Linked DNA regions of Canis lupus familiaris. The protein of the gene in region 3 purifies or fractionates together with the protein of the main gene of each other region. This does not show direct contact. Links are inferred from orthologs where the notes say so. Each region holds a gene or a part of one and is shown on either strand. Other genes may lie near its edges. The genes, in order: COPG1, COPG2 and COPA.

Evidence for each region.
Region 1: the proteins of COPA (region 3) and COPG1 purify together in Homo sapiens (affinity purification with mass spectrometry; 6 studies listed by BioGRID and IntAct, counting the BioPlex papers as one, with this or other methods). This does not show direct contact. The link is inferred for Canis lupus familiaris from reciprocal best matches to the Homo sapiens genes COPA and COPG1.
Region 2: the proteins of COPA (region 3) and COPG2 fractionate together in Homo sapiens (co-fractionation; 4 studies listed by BioGRID and IntAct, with this or other methods). This does not show direct contact. The link is inferred for Canis lupus familiaris from reciprocal best matches to the Homo sapiens genes COPA and COPG2.

What each region holds. Positions count from the first base shown.
Region 1 is NC_049241.1:2,885,457-2,889,201, reverse strand, and holds the start of COPG1 (coatomer subunit gamma-1), read left to right. Parts: upstream 1-938; 5' UTR 939-1,056; coding exon 1,057-1,093; intron 1,094-2,019; coding exon 2,020-2,072; intron 2,073-2,515; coding exon 2,516-2,596; intron 2,597-3,055; coding exon 3,056-3,127; intron 3,128-3,240; coding exon 3,241-3,320; intron 3,321-3,745. UniProt on the Homo sapiens protein: The coatomer is a cytosolic protein complex that binds to dilysine motifs and reversibly associates with Golgi non-clathrin-coated vesicles, which further mediate biosynthetic protein transport from the ER, via the Golgi up to the trans Golgi network.
Region 2 is NC_049235.1:6,177,707-6,181,451, reverse strand, and holds the start of COPG2 (coatomer subunit gamma-2), read right to left. Parts: upstream 2,317-3,745; 5' UTR 2,219-2,316; coding exon 2,182-2,218; intron 939-2,181; coding exon 886-938; intron 658-885; exon of another isoform or gene 449-657; intron 319-448; coding exon 238-318; intron 1-237. Other genes in the region: TSGA13 (testis-specific gene 13 protein), read right to left, coding at 2,760-2,926. UniProt on the Homo sapiens protein: The coatomer is a cytosolic protein complex that binds to dilysine motifs and reversibly associates with Golgi non-clathrin-coated vesicles, which further mediate biosynthetic protein transport from the ER, via the Golgi up to the trans Golgi network.
Region 3 is NC_049259.1:22,751,600-22,755,244, reverse strand, and holds part of COPA (coatomer subunit alpha), read right to left. Parts: intron 1,691-3,645; coding exon 1,528-1,690; intron 1,425-1,527; coding exon 1,278-1,424; intron 147-1,277; coding exon 1-146. UniProt on the Homo sapiens protein: The coatomer is a cytosolic protein complex that binds to dilysine motifs and reversibly associates with Golgi non-clathrin-coated vesicles, which further mediate biosynthetic protein transport from the ER, via the Golgi up to the trans Golgi network.

The DNA.
Region 1 (3,745 bases), on a different chromosome or scaffold from region 3:
CCCCCAGCCCCCAGTCCCCAGCCTCCGCCTCCGCAAAGCCTAACCCTGGAGCCTGGCCCTCCCCCTGACTCCACTCCGGCTGTGCCGCAGGCCCCTCCGCCCCTCTCCTCCAGCGACCTCCAGGTCCTCGGCCGTCCTGGCTCGCGCTTGCCGGCCAGGTGCACTTCGGGACGCTGGCACGCACCGTCCTTACCTGAGCCTCTGTGTCCCGCGCAGGTGCCCAGGTAGACAAACTGCGGAGGACGTTCCTTTTTCCCCTTTCAGTCCATTCCCGCCTCCAGCGGTAGGGCGGCGCGTCTGGTAAGCGCTTGATAAACATCCAAAGTATTTTAAACAGCACCTTGAAGTTTCTAGGCTGTTTTTTTACTTTAGGTCCCTGAAAGTTAAAAACAATTTGCACCATGATTAGATGCGATGGGGAGGGGGAGATATGAATTAGTAAGAGAAAGTTCATGCATTTCATGCACGAAAGTTCATTCAAGAATTGACTGAGCACCTACTATATGCCACCGTTATCCACGGTGGTGAGTAAAAGACAATAAATTCAATAAAGTAAAAAAGCAGTGTGTTAGATGGTGATTCGAGCTAGGGAGACAAATCCGGCGCGGTTAGGAGACTGAAAGCAAGGCCTCCCTGAAGTGACCCTAGTAAGTGCTAACAATTGGGTGTCTACCGCGGCGGGCGTGCTAGGGGCCTCACCTGGGGAAGCCCGTTTAGACTAACGCCACAACGCAGGGAGGGGGGAACGACTGCTCCCATTGCACAAATAAGGAGGACGTAAGGCGCACGGCAGGGGTACACGTCAGCCCGAGTCCGAGGCCTCTGCCCTCCCCCGCAACTCCCGGCCCTGAGCCCTGTTCCTCCCCGGCAGGGAGAGGGTTAAAGCCGGGCGTAGCTCCGGGTTGTGCGCGTGCGCGGAGCGCAGATTGCGCGTGCGCAGAACGCGGGACTACGTGGCTGGCCGGAAGTGGCCTGTGCGGAGCTGCCCCCGGGTCGCTGCCGCTTGCTGCACGGGTCTGCCACAGGGCTGCTGCTTCGCGCCCCGCCGGCACCACCATGCTGAAGAAATTCGACAAGAAAGACGAGGAGTCGGGTGAGGGGGCGTAGGCTGGGGGAGGCCGGACCCTCGCGCAGGCTCTCTGCACCCGCCCGGGGAGCCGTCCTTCCGGGCCCCTTCCTCGACGGGAAGCCGAGACCCGGGGACGGGGGTGGGCAGGGGTTGTGCCAACGTCCGCAGGGGGGCAGTGGCAGGCCTTGGAGAGCCCGAGCGTGCTCCGCTGCCCCCTCTCGGGGGCTCGACCACAGTTCGCTGGGTGACCTTGGGTGGGTCATGCGCCTCTGGGGGCCTCGGTTTCCCCAGCTGTTAGGAGGAGGGGCCCGGCCAGATGCACCGTGGTGGCTTTCTCAGTGAGACCCCTTGGGATTCACGGGGCTGCGTTGCTGCTGGCCGAACGGGAGCGTAATCTGTGGAGCCAGTGCTGTGGCTAAGAACCCTCTTTCATTTATTTATTCAGTAAACATGTGTTGAGCGCTTGCCGAATGCCCGGCACTGTATTGCATCCCGAGATTGTAGTAGAACAATGAGACCCTCAGGGCTTCATCTGGGAATATTAAGTCACAGGCCTAGTGGAGAAGCTAGACACCAACCAGATAAAGACACACGTAATTGATTACAAATGTGACATTTGCTGTGAAGAAATCCTCGTCACTAGGAGACAATGGTCCCCACACATTGTAGGGACTCAGTTAAGTACAAGTTGCATAAATGAATGCAAGACACCACACTGAGAAGCACAGAAGGACTGTACCAGGGCTGCTGGGTGACCGAGTGGTTTCGGGTAGAAGGAGCTCCCTGCAGAAGAGTGGTAGGATCTATGTGCAAGTTGTAGAGCTTTGATTGCCCTTCTGGAGTAATTTGAACTTGACTAGGTAGACAGTAGTGACATCTTTCCCTTCTCTATGTCTGCAAGGTTTGCAGTTTAGGCTTCCAACCCATACTCACTCTTCTTTGCTCTGTAGGTGGAGGCTCTAACCCATTCCAGCATCTTGAGAAGAGTGCAGTACTCCAGGAGGCAAGTATCATTTACCTTCTCCATCCTAAGTGTTCATAATCAACGTGTTCAAAATACTAACACCTTTAAAGTGGTGCTTTAAAGAACAGTAAGGGAGGAACCTGTTCCTGGAAAGACAGGAAAACTTCCTGGAGAGAGTTCATTATGCTCGCCTTTGTTGTTGTTCCTGCTCTCTGTTTCTTTTTCTACTTAACAAGTGTTTATTAAAAACCTGTTAGTAAGTCAGCACATCCCTAACTAATATTTAGGGAAGATTTGAGGAGTGGTTAGTAGATGAATTAAGGAAAAAACAAAACAACACTGTTTCCTTATGAAAGTAAGCTTTTTAGGCAAATGTATTTATTTACCCTGGGACTTCTCAGATTTTGAATGTGCTTGAGTGCAATCAATGGGAAGGAAATAAACCAGGCTAGAAAGTAATGTTCTTGGTTGCTTTTTATTAGGCTCGTGTATTTAATGAAACTCCCATCAATCCTCGAAAATGTGCGCACATCCTCACCAAGATCCTTTACCTCATAAACCAGGTAAGAGGATGGAACTTGGGGATCCCTGGGTGGCTCAGCAGTTTAACGCCTGCCTCCAACCCAGGGTGTGATCCTGGAGTCCTGGGATCAAGTCCCACATCAGGCAGGGAGCCTGCTTCTCCCTCTGCCTGCCTCTGCCTCTGTCTCTCTCTCTCTGCCTCTCGTGAATAAAGAAATAAAATCCTAAAAAAAAAAAAAAAAAAAAAGGATGGAACTTGGGGGGTGAGGGAAATGGTGCTGGAGGTTGTTGGAGGGGTTGCTAAGATAGCCCTTCAGATATCTGACAGCTCCTGTGTGATGGTTGTCCAGCTCTGGGTCTCCTCAATGTCTAACTCTGATGTATTGCCCTTGGTGCCCTTGCCTCTGCAGGGTCTGAGGATCTGGCCTGGGCTGAACTGGCAGAAAGAGCCTTCTGGCCTCTCTGCCCCACACTGAGACTTTCTTTTTCGACTAAAACAGGGGGAGCACCTAGGGACCACTGAAGCAACTGAGGCCTTCTTTGCCATGACCAAGCTCTTTCAGTCCAATGACGTAAGTGCCCTCAGTCAGTATGGTCTACCTTTGTGTGGGTTGGAGTTTTCCTTACCTTGGCCCTCTTGCTGAGCCACGGGTCAGTTATAGGACTTTTCCTATTTATTTTCCAGCCCACGCTCCGTCGGATGTGCTACTTGACCATCAAGGAGATGTCTTGCATCGCTGAGGATGTTATTATCGTCACCAGCAGGTGAGTCTTAGGTTGATGGATGATGGTTCCCTTGATGGAGGCCATTGACACAGAGGCCGTTTTTTTCTCTTGTGTATCAGGCAATGAGATTTTGTTTAATATAATACCAGGCACCCTTTCCTCTTTTGTCTCCCTCATCCTTGTGTTACTGCTGCCTACCCCATGGCAGCCTCCGGAGTGTGCAGTTTCCTTTTTAATTCTCTGACCTTACCTTAGAGCACAAACCCTTCCTTGCCTTGATTCCTCTCAGTCAACTGAGCCACCCTGGAACTTTCACAAAGACTTTAGTGAGTACCAAGAGAGAACACAAGAAAAATAGAGTGCAGGGGTATACAGACAGCCTTGCTTACCAATCACTGGTTTCTGCTGTAGACTGAGTTATTCAGGCGGCAGATGTGACTAAAATATAATCTCTGTTCTTAAGA
Region 2 (3,745 bases), on a different chromosome or scaffold from region 3:
CAATGTTGATAATCTATTATGTGCTTAGCTGGTCTAGTACCTCATGAATAAAACAGAAATATATGTCATAATCCTTGTCCTCAAGAAGTTTTACATATCATCACCTTAATCAAACACTATATACTTTTAAATTGAGTGAATTTTAAGAAATTAACTATACTTTCCAAAAAGTACTTCACTGAATGTTATGTATTTCTTTTCCAGGAAACAAATCTGAGGAAAATCAAAATAGCTTACTTGGTTCAGTAAGTAAAGAATCTTTGTAAGAATATGCAAACATCTTCTTGGATTGATGGGTGTTTCATTGAATATGCGAGCCTGTGGGAACGAAAAACATTTTTAAACAGCATGTTTTCTGTCATTTCTATCATATTACAAAAGATCAACTTTAATCAAATAGACTATTACATATTTTGATCACAACATCCACATAATGTTAGTTGCTTACAGTTTTCAATTTATCACAGTATACGATACACTTTGGTCTTTATATTCCGTCTATACTAACTCCTTCCCTTACATCTAGTACTTCAACTTTATGGGCGTTATGTGTGTTAAGAATCGTAATATTTATCTATATCATCTGAATATAATTAGCTTAATATCTTTAACTTCCTTCAGTAACCTTGTGCTAAACATCTCTTTGGCATTTTACTTAAAATTATCAACATGTGGCAGAGTGTCTACACAGTTTTGCGTTTCTGTAAGCTCTAGACCCTCCTATGGTAAGTTAACCCCTCTTCCTCTTCCCTCAGGTCTGTATTTTCCGAACACAATTATTACATCCTTCAATTCTTATTTCGGGTCATCATATTCCGGAGGCTCTCTGCCCACCATTCCAAAATGGAATAGAAAGAAAGAACACAATATACTTCCAAGTCATACCTCCTGTAAGACAGCACTCTTCTCCAGATGCCGAAAAGGATTGGAGCCACTACCTATATCATAAACAAAAAATGTCTTCAATAGCTGTCCAAGACAAACTTACTGTCTACAGAAGGGTACTGAATGCTTGGGATATCTCACCTAGATGAAGCGACCACTTGGATAGCACAGTGACAAGCGTTACTAATACACATATGAACTGAATAAAATCATATGGATTCTGGTACTAGCTGTCGTTGCTAGTTACTGAGGATCTTGCACTTCTCTTTTGCACGATCCCTGCCCAAAAAGAGTGTCTTCTTTCCTTGTCCTCTTTTTATGGGACTGTTGCGAGCCTATGTTATGTTCACACAGCTAAGATTAATGAGACTGTGGTAGGACCCTTTTGGATTTCCCTGAAAGACAAGCGCTATCTTCCATGTTTCCAACAATTACTTCGAGGCAGAAAAGAGTTTATAGCCAAGAATGCTGTCAAGCTGGAAGGGGCCATGGAGATTTACTAAACCCAAACGTCCACCACACCATGGGAGAGCCGAACCAAACACTGAGGGCTTGTGCTTTGGGAGTTGGGGGGTTGGGCGGGGGGGGGGTGTTTTTAGGTGGCTTGGCATCTTCCCCACTCGCTCTGGATCAAAGTTGGGTCTCGAGAACGCCACTCGAGCATCCTCCGTACCGTGGGCCAGTCGTAATCCCCTGGGAGGCGGACACAGCTAAGGTCCTCGGGCAGGCTGGAAGGGCCAAGGCGCTTCCAGGTTCATACACGCGCGCGCGCGCACACACACGCGCACACCCACGCGCACACACACGCGCACACTCGGTCCCGGCGGACCACCTCCGGCGCCCCCAGCGCGCGTGCACCCGCCCCTCGCCGCGCCGCGGGCCCGCCTCCTCGGCCTGGAGCACCCCCCGCCCCCCCCCGCGGCGCGGCGGAGGCGGAGGCGGAGGCGGAGGCGGAGGCGGCTCCGAGGGGCTGCGCCCGGGGGCGGGCGCGGGGGCGGGGGCGGGCGCGGGGCGCGCGACCCGAGGGGAGGCTCCGAGGCCGGGGGAGGGGCTAGGGGCAGGCCCCGGGCTGCAGCCGAGCGGAGCCGAGCGGGGCCGAGCGGGGCCGAGCGGAGCCGAGCGGGGCCGGCGGAGGGAGGGAGGGAGGGAGGGAGAGAGGGAGGGGCGGGCTCCAGCTCCGGCCCCCTGGCGCACCGGGCGCCCACGCCTGCGGGTCCGCGGCCCCCGGGAGCAGGTGGCGGCGGGCGGGGAAGGGGCCCCGCGGCCGAGGGTGGGCGTCGGCAGCCCAGCGCGTACCAGACTCCTCGTCCTTCTTGTCGAATTTTTTAATCATCTTGGACGACTTCCCAGCGCCCAGACCCACCGCAACCGTCCAGGCGCCGCAGCCGCGAGCGGAAGAGGCTGCAGGAAGGCCGGCCCCGCGCCCCGGCGCCGGTTGGGTCGCCGTCCCGTCACTCGGGGAGAAGGCCCGCCCTCCCGGCTGTGGCGGCCGCGCCCGTCCCCCGGGGCCGCGGCCACGCCCTCGCCCCGCCCGCAGCCGCGCGGAGGCGGGGCCGGCGCTGGGCCCCCGGGGTGCGTCGCGGCCCCTGCGGGGCGGGGCGGGGCGGGGCGGGGGCCCACGGGGGGGGCGCGGGGCGGGGGGGCGCGGGGCGGGGGCCCACGGGGGGTCGCGGGGCGGGGGGGCGCGGGGCGGGGGCCCACGGGGGGGCGGGGGCGCGGGGCGGGGGCCCACGGGGGGGCGCACCCGCCGGCCGGCGAGCCGCAGCGCCAGCCCGGAGCGAGCACAATGCGGTTTTATTTGGTCTGCGCGCCCTGGACGGCGCCTGGTGCGGCCCCCGAGCCTGGGGAGGCGGCGGCGGCCGGGAGGGTCGCCTTCACTGGAGGGCAGCGGCCTTCCTGACGATCCGCTGCGGGGCCCTTCCGTCGCGGCGGGCGCGCTCCCCGGGCACAGGGCTGGCGGGTTCCTGGTTCGGGAGCGAGGAAAGGCTCGGCGGTGCGCGGGCCGCCTCGGAGGTCGGCACGTCACTCCCTGACTTGGCGACTGCAACAAAGCACGGGGCCCCCTGGTCAGGGTGGGTTTCCAGAGGGTCGAGAAGGACGCTCAGTGGGAGGCAGGAAAGAGACCCGCTTGGAGGGACGGAACAAGAGGGCAAATGTTGGACCACGGACTACCGCGCCCAAGCTTCTTCACACTTCTGGATTCCTTCCGTTCATCAAAACCCTGCCAGTTCAGAGAGGCTTCCCGGTGTCATCCCACCCCTTTCCAACGATCCCACCTGCAAGCACGTTGACACTTAGAGAACTCTCAATAAGGCGCATTCATACTCCTCGTAGCCTTCTCCTAAAGTGTGTGTGGCTTTCAGGTTCTCCCGTCTGAGAGTGTAACTAAGAAACTGTTTCTACCTTTGGCTTCAGTGTCATCACTTGATCCAGATTCTCTTTTAACCTCTGCCTGTACTTGGAAGCTTCCACCGTGGGCTCTTCTTGCTTCCATCCCTCCACACTTTTTTGATGCATTATGTCTTGCCAATATCTCTTGAATCTGTTTGCTCCTTCCTACTGCCATCACCTTGGTTCAAGCCCTACCGTCTATCTCTTCCAGGGCCCCCTAATCAGCCCCCATCTACAACATTCTCTGGGTAATCTTTCTTTCTTTGGTTGCCTGGCAAACGTGGAACGTGACTGGCTATTGGCAGAACGAGGGTTTGCTGGCAGTCCCTTTTGCTTGAAGTGGAGACATTGTTTCAACTTCTCAGCCCCATGGGCTTTCTTTAGGGAAAGCATCAAAAGGAGCCCTTTAGAGTAAAGTAAGTACTCAACTTTTCTTGAAGGAAACTGTAAAATCCCCAGAAATCTACTA
Region 3 (3,645 bases):
AGGTACAAGAAAGAAAGTTTGTCAAAGTTCTTGGTGCGCTGATAACACATTTCTACAATCTGGTGGTTCCCCTGTAGCAAGGCCACTTCTCCTAGCTTTTCCCAGCAGTTCTTGTCATCCAGTGCTTTGGCTGCTTCCAGAGCAATCTAAAGAATCCCGAGGGTCAGAGTTAACAGGTTGGCAGATACTGTGACTCAAAACCAGGGACTACAAAGTATCTGCCTCTACATAAATTTCCCACAGGCTCTCTATAGCTGTAATCACTCCCAGTTTTCAGTTTAATTCTACTGAAAATTCCTACCACCACACAGAGTCCCTCTGGCTCCATGGAAAGAATCACATCACACTATCCTTCTCCTCAGCAATTTACTTTTAGGGGATCCCTGGGTGGCTCAGTGGTTTAGCGCCTGCCTTAGGCCCAGGCCGTGATCCTGGAGTCCTGGGATCGAGTCCCGCATCAGGCTCCCTTCATGGGAGCCTTAAAAAAAAAAAAAAAAAAAAAAGATGTTTACTTTTACAGAAAATAGAACTAGAAAATTAACTCACCTAAGCCCTCCTCCCATTTAAAAATAATGCCTGTACACTCTAGGTCCCCACTTTTTTTTTTTTTTAAAGATTTTATTTATTTCTTTGACAGAAAGAGAGTGCAAGCTGCGTGCAACAGGCAGAGGGTGAGGGAGAAGCAGGCTCCCCACAGAGCAAGAACTCAAGGTGGGGCTTGATCCAGGACCTTGGAACTTATGACCTGAGCCGAAGGCAGACACCTAACCAACTGAGCCACCTAGGCGCCCCTCAACAATTTTTTAAGATTTTATTTTATCGTTAGGCAGGCTCCGCATCCAGCCTGGAGCCCAACACAGGACTTGAACTCACTAAGCTGAGATCGAGTCAGATGCTGACTGAGCCACCCAAGTACCCCTCCAGGTCCCAATATATCATAAGTACTACTACATCTAAGCAGCCAATCAGGAAGTAAAAGGTGAAGGAAATAATGAGACTTTTCAGATTCCATGCTCTGTTCCTCCAATTCTAGAAGTTAATGAATTCAGAATGACTGATAATGATGACAGTAGCAATGCTATGGCAGAAGCAGAGACAGGAAGTAGCAGAGATGGGCAAACAGCAACAGGAAGACAGCTCTACCTAACAACTAAAAAAATCTCAAATTGCATCATACTTGCTGAAGAAGAGGCCTAGAATAATGTCCTCACAATGTGACCATAACCCTCTCAACCTTCTCTGCAATGACATGGGGCTCATGACCACGTCTCCCTCACCTCAATATTTCCACATTCGAGTGCCAGACTAAAGCGAGTTTTCTCATCCTTGACGAAATGCAGTGCCACTTCCGGGTAGCCCTTCTTCTGCAGGTAAGCAATGATAGACTGGCCTACTAGTTTGGCATTCCTCACCATGTGCAGTACCTAGACATTTGGGGTGGGGTCGGGCAGAAAAAGAGATCATGCAGAGGAAAAAAGGGAGTGCCAGCCCTCTCTCACACCCCCCAGTGTGCACTCTCGTTTATACCTCATCATATTTTCTGTTGATCAGGGCCAGCTTGAACTTGAACTCAGTGGGATCAATGGTGAGCACTCGAGGACGACATTCCCGGTCCAGGCAATACACATTGTTGCCCTTCACCCGCGTAACATAGATTGGTAAATCCAGGGTTCGGATGATTCCATAGTCCCTGCAAACAGGAATTAGAGGGCACAAGTTTCAGCAAGTGATGGGGAAAACACAACCTGTAAGGACCTGGAACAAGCCAAGGACACAACTTTTCAGCTTGTCACTGCTCTTTTGCCAAGTGCTATTTGCACAATGGTATAGATGGGAAGCAAGTCAAAAAAGAACAGAACTAAATGCCACATTTACTTATTCTTTTGTATGAAGTAGGAAGAGATGGGGCACATTATATGATCTCCCTTCATAAGCTATTATTCTGGAAGCCAACAGACACGGCTACAGGAATCAGACCTAAAGCTAAATCTTTTTTTTTTTTTCTCTCCCTAAAGTTAAATCTTAACTTCTAATATATAGTCACCGGGCCAGTTAAATCCTTCCTTGCAGCTACAAGTGAAAGTAGAAGAGCAGGAGATGCAAACTTCTGACACATGAAGAAATAAACAAAAAGCAAAAATATTTTAAATTGAACAAAAATTAAGAGTTTATCAAACTGGGACGCCTGGGTGGCTCAGTGATAGAGCATCTGCCTTCGGCTCGGGGCACGGTCCCAGGGGGTCCGGGATTGAGTCCCACATCAGGCTCCCCGCAGGGAGCCTGCTTCTCCCTCTGCCTTGTGTCTCTGCCTTTCTGTCTCTCATGAATAAATAAATAAAATCTTAAAAAAAAAAAAAGTTTATCAAACTTATGGGCACAGCTAACACAATACACGACTGATAATCTAGGATGCTAAGTGCACACACTGTACTAAAAGAAACACTGAAGACTAATGAGCTCTACATACATACATTAGAGAATCAATATAAGACAAAAAATTAAAATGTAGTGAAAATTAATAAGCACTTGGCTCAAAAACTTTGTTCTTTTAAGTTAAATCAAAGAATATACTTAAAAAAAATGAAGCCAATCATAATTTTAAGAAATGGAAAACAAAAATACAACACAGAAGTTCAATAAAGGCAAAAGCTAAATAAAATTGATAAACCTCTCATTAGGCTAATTAAGAAAAAAGAACAGCAAAAATAGGAATGGAAAACGGGGTATTCCTCTGGCTCTTGTAGGATGAGGATAGGCATACACTTTTTTAAATGATCAAATTCCAAGAAAAGTAAAATTTACCAAAACTGACTAAAAAGAATTAGAAAACCCCATACAGTCCTGTAACTATTACACAAGATAAACTGAATCATAAAAAAAATCTTCCTATAAAAGAAAGCCCCAGGCCTGGATGACTTCACAGGCAAATTCTACCTAACATTTCAGGAAAAAAAATTTTTTTAAAGATTTAATTTATTCATGAGAGAGAGAGAGGGAGAGAGAGAGAGAGAGAGAGAGAGAGGCAGAGACACAGGCAGAGGGAGAAACAGGCTCCATGCAGGGAGCCTGACGTGGGACTCAATCCCAGGTCCCCAGGATCACACCCTGGGCCAAAGGCAGTGCTAAACCGCTGAGCCACCCGGGCCGCCCCATCTCAGGAAGAATTAAATTGAAATTTATTACAAACTCACTGAGAGTTGTACTCTCTGTGTATTCTCATGAATAAATAAATAAAAAATCTTAAAAAAAATAAATGAATTATCCTCGGTAATTTTAGGAGCTTTTCATATATTTGAGTATGTGTCCTCTGTTAGGGCTACACATTGCAAATCTTAATGTCTCTTTCCATTCTGTAGCTTGTCTCTTGATTCTGTTTATGATACCCTTTAATGAACAGGTGTTCTTATTTTAATATTGTTGAATTTATGAATCTTATCTTTTATGGATATTAGGTTTTGTATTTCATGTAAGAAATCATTATCGACTCCAAGGTCATAAAGGCATTATTTTATGTTCTCTTGTAGAAACTTTATAGTTCTGTTTTTATATCTAGAACTGTGATCTCCTTGAAGTTGATTTTTGTGTGGCATGTGAGGTACAGGGAGCTCAGTTTCACATTTTACTTATGGACATTCAGCTGTCCAA